2 linked regions of the Rattus norvegicus genome follow. The protein of the gene in region 1 purifies or fractionates together with the protein of each later gene. This does not show direct contact. Links are inferred from orthologs where the notes say so. Each region holds a gene or a part of one and is shown in the gene's direction. Other genes may lie near its edges.

Region 1 (4,327 bases):
CTTACATAGGTCCATCCTATGTAACAAGAGGACTTAGATTATTTAGCCAAACTCTGCCACTGGGAAGACAGTACTGAAAGAGTGGGTACTGGGCAGGAATACTGAACACTCTCCTGACCACCCCTTCCAAAAGCCAGGGCAAGGCTGGCTGTTTGGTTTCCTATCCACCTTCCCCTCCTCCTGCTGGGAGCGGCTGGCATTAAGAGAAGACTTGTTTATAAGTGAAAACAAACAGACAGTATTTGCCTTCACAGTTCTGAATGCATGAAGTGCAGACTTACTTTATCCCTTTGCCTGAGGCTCAGCGTGGACAGTAGGTAACCTGCCTGGCCCCCAGGTTCGCCACAGCTGGAAGCCTTGGGGACTTTCAGGGGCTGGAGCAGGTCAGATCACACTCTGCACTGTGGTCCCCTTACAACTTTAGAGTGAGGTCTACTGTGTGCCAGGGGAGATTAGGCTGAGTGATCAATTCCTGTTCGTTTCCTTATGCAGGCAAGGACCAGGAGAAAGCTGTGTGACAAGTGTCAAGTTGATAATGCTAGACAACTCTCAACTCTAACCATGGGACACACAAGACTCTTCCGGGGACCACGGAGGTTTGTTAGCCTCTAGGCAGAGATGAGCTTCAGAATGCTGGCTTTGATCTCCTCCTGGCCTCACTCTCCCTTCTGTCCTAAAGGGAAACATTCCCTACCTTGCTTTCCTCACAGCTTGTAAACTCAGAGATACAAAAGGGCTTGGTCAGCTATAATAAAGCACCAGAGGCCTGCAAGGAAATGAACACAGCATTTTCAAGACTTCTAAAGGTGCTTTCTTACCAGCCTCCCCAGGCACTCAGTAGTCACCTACCTTAAGTCCCACCCTAATTTATCTTAGTTGAGCATCTCCATGGGAAAGCCCGAGTCTTAATATGAGTGCCCTGGGGGAATCACAGCCCTGTTAAGGGTAAACTGAGGCCGGATCATCCCACTCTAGGTGCTCAAGAATGAATCAGGAACAATCAGGAACACAGAGCATTGCTGGAGGCTGGGGCCCCCCGCTGTGGTCCTGAGCCAGGGGAATGCCTGCCACAGGTCCTAGGTATCTGGGCAAAAGTCTTTCCCAACCGCAGGAGACACCGGATGGTTCAAGCCCAGGACCTCGCTGCGCCCTTTCCTGCCTTACGGATCCCAAACTTCTTCAGAGAGACAGATCCTGGAAATTTGGGGAGTGGGGACGAGGAACCCCTTCTCTGCAGCCGGACCTCGCCCTCGGGGCACGGCCGGTGGGGAGGGGCGGTTTGCCGCTGCGCTGCTACCGCTCCCCCCCTGCCCCCGACGGCCGCTCCCGCCGCTCGCGCCCCGCCCGCCCCGCGGCCCCGCCCGAGCTGCCCCCGCCCCCGCAGCTCTCCCTCGGCCTCCGCCGCCCAAACTTTTTTCTCCGGGCGCGTCTCCAGCGGCGGCCGCCCCCGCGCATGGGCGCCGCGCTGCAGGGGGCCTGACCCCCGCCGCTGGCACCGCGCGTCCCCAGCCCCGCGCCATGGCGGCCCGCGCGCCCCCCGCCGCACCTGCGGCCGACGAGCCTGGGAGCCCCGGCGGCCCCCCGCGCAGGAAGAAGTCCCGCTCCGGCCTCCGCCGCGCCTTCAGCTGGCTGCGGGGCAAACGGCGCAAGAAGAAGGCGGCTGGGGCCGAGGGCGCCGAGTCCGCCGCCCCGCGGGCCAAGAAAGCGGAGGACAAGGCCAAGCGGTCCAAGGGCAAAAGCCGAGGTGAGGTGGCCTGGCACCTGGGTTGAGCGCGCCAAGGGTGTGGCAGGGTGGGTCCTCTGGGGTGGGTGGGTGGGGGTCGGCTGTATGTGGACGGCTTGTCCCTTAGGCAGTGGTTTTGGATGAAGTGAAGAGCCCAAGGTACCATAAGATAAGACCTGCGCCGCTCCAGGGACACAGTCTATCCAACTTTGAGGGGCAGAGACCCCTGTCTGGGGCAGGGGTCCCCCGGTTTAAGCAGGAAGTGCTGGCTGGCTGGCCCTCCTGGTGGAAAGACACTTCCCCTCTCCCAGGTTCTGCCCTCTGCTGAGTCAGGGGGTCGGAGATTTGACACTGGCCAGGGGCCAATGGGAGAGGCAGGTGGCCTTGGGTCTTGGAATGGCAGTCTCTTTGGGTCTTTAAGGTCAGCCTACTCAAAAAGGAGGTTTTTTTTTTTTTTTGCCCTCCAGGTAGATCCTGGTTACCAGCTCCACAAAGTACTCAGCGCGGAGTCCTTTGCCTTAGGTTGTTAGCAGTGTTAGCTTTTCCCATCTCCACACCCCACACCCCCCTTACCTGGGCCAAACCACAAGCATCCACCTCCTGAGTGGTGAGATCACCATCCTGAACCAGAGGCCGCTCCTCCTCTCTCAGTACTCTCCCTAGTCCCCGTAGGAACCTGCTTGTGTTGAAAGTGGGGAAACTGAGGCGCAAGTGAAATGGGCTCTCCAGGTGAACTCCAGCAGCCCTTTCCGAGTCTTTGGAAGTTTTGAGCCCATGGCTCTCCCTGGAACCTAAGGGATGGGAGGCCCGAGAAACAGAAACGGGAAGGAACAGGGAGTCTTCTATCCCTGTTAAGGTCACTGTACTTTTGGCCACTTGTCCGGCTTTCCCCTCATCTCCTGCTTCTACCTTCGGTTTGGTAGGGAGACCTTTAGTCTCTGCTAGAGGGTAGAGAGGCCAGCCGCTGCTGAAGTTTATCTTTCCTATACCGCCAAGTTAAAGTGTTGAAGGTGAGGAAGTGGCCTGGATCGGGGCCCATTCCAATCTAGCTGTGTTTCCCTTCGGTGTCCTTTAACTACCTCTGGCAAGTTAGAAAGAACGTTAGGGGTCAGGAAGAGGGTGTAAAGCCTCTTGTATGATTGCATCCGGCCCATCTTCCTTTTGGAAAAGGGCCCCGCTCCCTTGCAGCCCAGCCACAAATAGAAATTTGGGCGCTTAGATTGAGATGGATGGGCCAAGCCCTGAGGGAAGGTTTGCTTGGGGTGGTGTTTCCAAGTGTTCTCCAGCCCCTAACTGGAGGGGAATGTGTCCCAGGGCTCCCCACTAGAATTCAGGGTGAAGTTATACCCCTCTGACACAGAGAGCTTGTGTCAGAAAGGCAGCAATACGGGTTGTGGTCAGATGGTCAGGCAGGATAGTGGTTGAGTGGGCTATCTTAGGGAGGTGACTCTCTTTTTCAGGTGACCAGCCTGGAGGCAGAGGGCTATAGGGGTAAGTTAGTACTTGAGCCTCCTAGGGTTGGCAGGTCAGCGGCCTAGCCTCCTGTCTTGTGTTTGGTATTGAGTAGCACTGGGATTTCTGGGCAATAGGCTGGCCTCACAGAGTCCACGTGCCTGGGTGACACCCTCTGCCCTGAGCGGTTGTCTTTCCGAGGCTGCAGGTGGCCGCAGGTACTTCTGAGGGCAGCCTGCTCCCTTTTGCTCCAGCCTCCAATTGTTCAGATTGTTTCCCTGTCACCTGCCTGGGCCAGCTTCTTTTCTGTTTATTAAGAGAAATAAATCCGATCTTTCTAATCTCCACTGGCCAGGAAGGGGAGGCTGGAGGCTTAACTCTTTCAGGGCAGATGACCATCAGAACGGAGACTGGGGAAGGAGGGATCTACTAGGAGCTTTTCTGGAAGGACTGAGAGGCCTTTGTGGGAAGCTCAATGGGTCCGCCACAGTCTCAGAACCAGAGATCGAGAGACACAGGTCTCAGCTCCCCTTACTGCTCTTCTGTAAACCGGGAGATGGTGCTTACAATGTGATTTTGAGCTGCAATCTCCTGTGCCCCACCTCCCTTCCCACACTCTTCTTCCCCTCATAGCCTTAGCAGAAAGGAGGAAACCTGACATTGATGGATTACTCTGAATGTGTCAGGAGACTTACATTCATTTCCTCACTCGATCCCATTTGCAGAGCTGGACGTAGTGGCAGCACACCGCCAGCATTGGAGTTGCTGAGGTAGGAGAATACATTTGAGGCCAGCCTAGACTACATATCAACACCTCTTCTCAATGGGGGTGGGGGTGGGGGTATCCCATGGGGCAAAAACCCTGAGGCTTAGTGACGGCGAATGACTGATTTGACAAAAACTCAGATTGATATTCACAGTCAGATGCTTCAGAAACCAACATGATTCTTCAGAAGACACAGAGGGGAGGCTCGAAGGTCTCACGCAGCCCACTCTACAGAGAGGCAGCCTGGAGAGAATTGCGGAAACGGGATAGCCTGGGCAGAGTATCGAGGGGCAGGAAAATGACTTTAATTCTGGTATCGCTACAAAGACCCATGACACCGTTGAAGCAACTTCACCGTGAGCTCACAGCTTCTGTCATGGCCTCAT
Region 2 (3,647 bases), on another chromosome or scaffold:
GGCCCAGCCTCTCATTTTGAGACAAGGTTTCTCTTACTTATCTATTTTCTGATGAATGGTAAACATTGGATTTACCTGCAGTACCTACACTTCTATACTTCCAGATCTTAAGCTTTTGAACCCTTGAGTTGCAAGGCTTTCTAACGATAAAAATAATTCCAACCCTGATCACCGAACCTGCTAAGTTCTAGCCTGCTCGGGCAGGTCATTTTCATATTTGGACTTTGTGTTGTCGCTTGTAGGAAAACAGTTTAAAGTGTACACTTTTAGCTTTTATCTGAAGGCTGAAGTACTGCCTCGTGTCTGAGGTAGAGTGTATTAGAATGCCATAAGAGCGTGTATCTGCAATATTTTTAATTTTAGTATTGATTCTTGTCTCATAGGAAGCAGGAGTTAAGAAGAAGTTTGACTTTGTTTTTTCTCTGTCCCCCGACTTCCTTTCTTTTCCACATCCTTAAGTTCAGATACGTCAGGGATTTCAGACAGAATTACTTTCTTTTACAGACATGTGGGTTAGATCCTGTTCCTTTCTCAGTGGCCAGGAGCCCTATCTAAGTAACCTGCTACCGTAACAGACAGACTTTCAAGCCTCTGTGGAAAAGAAAAAAAAAACCTATGTATATGTTGCCATACTGATTTTATTGGAAAATAATGTAATGTTTCCTTTTAAAAACACATAGAAAGTCTTGGAGGCATAACTAAAATTTCGGGGCCTATTTTAAGAGCAAACATATCTGAGAGATACTATTTAGCTGCTTAAACTGAAAAGCAGAAATTAAAAAAAAAAAAAACAAAAAACACCCCATGTAGTAAGCATTTCTGCTACGGTTAGACATGGGTGACGTCCGGCCCGTCTACTGTGTAGGTTCAGGAGCTTCTGACATGCGCTGTGCACGTCTGTTAAGCCAGCTGTGCTCCCGGAGTGTGCTGCCATCACAAACCCTCACGTGCTCACCTAGAGTCTTGTTTATCTAAATCTCATGTTACCCGGCTGTCTTCTGAGTTTTCTTGCCTCTCTCTGACTCTAGAAGCAGGGAGAGTTTGTTCTCATTACAAGAGTTTTGGAAGCCATTAGTTTAAGACAACAGAATGTCCGAGTGGTGATAAGTTCCACTTTATACTTCGCTCATCAGTCATTGGTTAATACAAGTCACACAGAAATAAACTACGGCACTGAAGAGATTGACTGTGGAGCTACAGTTTCTAACAGACACACTGGTGCTGTGTGTTTCACACTGATACTGTGTTTCACACTGATACTGTGTGTTTCACACTGATACTGTGTTTCACACTGATACTGTGTGTTTCACACTGATACTGTGTTTCACACTGATACTGATACTGTGTGTTTCACACTGATACTGTGTGTTTCACACTGATGCTGTGTGTTTCACACTGATACTGTGTGTTTCACACTGATGCTGTGTGTTTCACACTGATACTGTGTATTTCACACTGATGCTGTGTGTTTCACACTGATACTGTGTTTCACACTGATACTGATACTGTGTGTTTCAGACTGATACTGTGTGTTTCACACTGATGCTGTGTGTTTCACACTGATGCTGTGTTTTTCACACTGATGCTGTGTGTTTCACACTGATGCTGTGTGTTTCACACTGATACTGTGTATTTCACACTGATGCTGTGTGTTACTGTGTATTTCACACTGATGCTGTGTGTTTCACACTGATGCTGTGTATTTCACACTGATGCTGTGTGTTTCACACTGATACTGTGTTTCACACTGATACTGATACTGTGTGTTTCACACTGATGCTGTGTGTTTCACACTGATACTGTGTATTTCACACTGATGCTGTGTGTTTCACACTGATGCTGTGTGTTTCACACTGATACTGTGTTTCACACTGATACTGATACTGTGTGTTTCACACTGATACTGATACTGTGTTTCACACTGATGCTGTGTTTCACACTGATGCTGTGTATTTCTTTAAGGCCGCAGACATACGTGGACCACATGGATGGATCTTACTCACTCTCTGCCTTGCCATTCAGTCAGATGAGTGAACTCCTAAGCAGAGCTGAGGAGAGGGTCTTAGTCAGACCCCATGAACCACCTCCACCTCCACCAATGCATGCAGCAGGGGATGCAAGACCCACCCCCACCTGTGTCAGGTATGTGGGGCAGCCATGACGCTTTGTCTCGGGGATCAGCGAGCTTTCCCTTTGAAGGATCAGTAGTAAACATTTTAGGCTCTCTGGATAAACACTTTATCACAAGTCTGCCATCTTTGTGTGGGAGCTGCCGGAGACCATCCATAAATGACAAACACAGGAGCTAGTGCCTTTAGACATGACCTGTGGTCGCTTTCCTCTCGTTAGAGCTGGCATGGTCTCCTGGGGACGTTTAGCTAATTGCTTTCAGGATCAGTGTCTTCGTGTGTGATTACAGCTTTGTTAACTGGCATGATTGTATATAGTTATCAAGGAAAGATGAAGTCTTACAGTCTGGCGGCCTCAGGATGGTAGGAAGTCGCTCGTGGCAGTATTTCAGTAAGGCTGTTTTAAATTTTATGCGATCAGTTGTCCAACTTAGAAAAAGAGATTTCCTGATAGAGAAATAAATACAGACCAGCTTTCCCATTTAAAACAGGATAAGCCACCAAAGCCTCTATCACTGGCTTATTTGGTCTGTCAGCCCTAGGAAGAAAGAGGTGTGAGTTTCCTTTGTGGTTTTTAATGAGCTGGCATTGGCTTCACTGAAATGACATGATGAGCCGAAACAGCCTCGGTACACAACGCCATCATCACATTAGCCAAACACTGCTGTAAGTCAGTGCAGTCGGTGTGTGTGTGCATGGGGGGGGGGGGTCACTGCAGCCCCTCCTCCTGTCACAGCGTAGAACTGAACACTATTTACTGAGGTAAGCAGGGAACTCCCGAGGAGACGTGAAATTACAACATCGAGGCTGTTGGGAAAGTTTGATTATTATAAACCAAAGCCTCACGCGAATTTGTGCACTTCTACTTCTTTGCAATAATGTTAAATAGTTGAAGGCTTCCATGGGAGCCTGTTAGTGGGTTTACTGAGGGGCAGCTACAGTGGTTTACTGCTTCTGCAGTCTCCTTCCTCAGCTTGCCGGTCACTGAAGTCTAGGGTGTCTGTCGTTTCAGCTCTGCTGCGGGTTTGATAGAGAATCGTCCCCAGTCCCCAGCTGCAGGCAGAACACCCGTGTTTGTGAGCCCCACGCCCCCACCTCCTCCACCACCTCTCCCGTCTGCCCTGTCCACCTCCTCACTGAGAGCTTCCATGACCTCAACTCCTCCCCCACCGGTGCCTCCCCCGCCTCCTCCTCCAGCCCCTGCCTTGCAGGCCCCAGCAGTGCCCCCGCCTCCAGCCCCTCTTCAGATTGCCCCTGGTGTCCTTCACCCAGCTCCTCCTCCAATCGCTCCTCCTCTAGTACAGCCCTCTCCCCCGGTAGCCAGAGCCGCCCCAGTGTGTGAGACTGTACCCGTTCATCCACTCCCACAAGGTGAAGTGCAGGGGCTGCCTCCGCCCCCGCCGCCGCCGCCTCTGCCTCCTCCAGGCATTCGGCCATCATCACCTGTCACGGTCGCAGCTCTTGCGCATCCTCCCTCTGGGCTCCACCCAACTCCATCTCCTGCCCCTGGTCCCCATG

What was found. Proteins that work in one complex are often made in the same cells at the same time.
Region 2: the proteins of Nhsl3 (region 1) and Wasf1 purify together in Homo sapiens (affinity purification with mass spectrometry; 3 studies listed by BioGRID and IntAct, with this or other methods). This does not show direct contact. The link is inferred for Rattus norvegicus from reciprocal best matches to the Homo sapiens genes NHSL3 and WASF1.

What each region holds. Positions count from the first base shown.
Region 1 is NC_086023.1:146,874,560-146,878,886, reverse strand, and holds the start of Nhsl3 (NHS like 3), read left to right. Parts: upstream 1-1,382; 5' UTR 1,383-1,518; coding exon 1,519-1,744; intron 1,745-4,327. UniProt on the Homo sapiens protein: Able to directly activate the TNF-NFkappaB signaling pathway.
Region 2 is NC_086038.1:45,949,932-45,953,578, forward strand, and holds part of Wasf1 (actin-binding protein WASF1), read left to right. Parts: coding exon 1-26; intron 27-1,962; coding exon 1,963-2,142; intron 2,143-3,141; coding exon 3,142-3,647.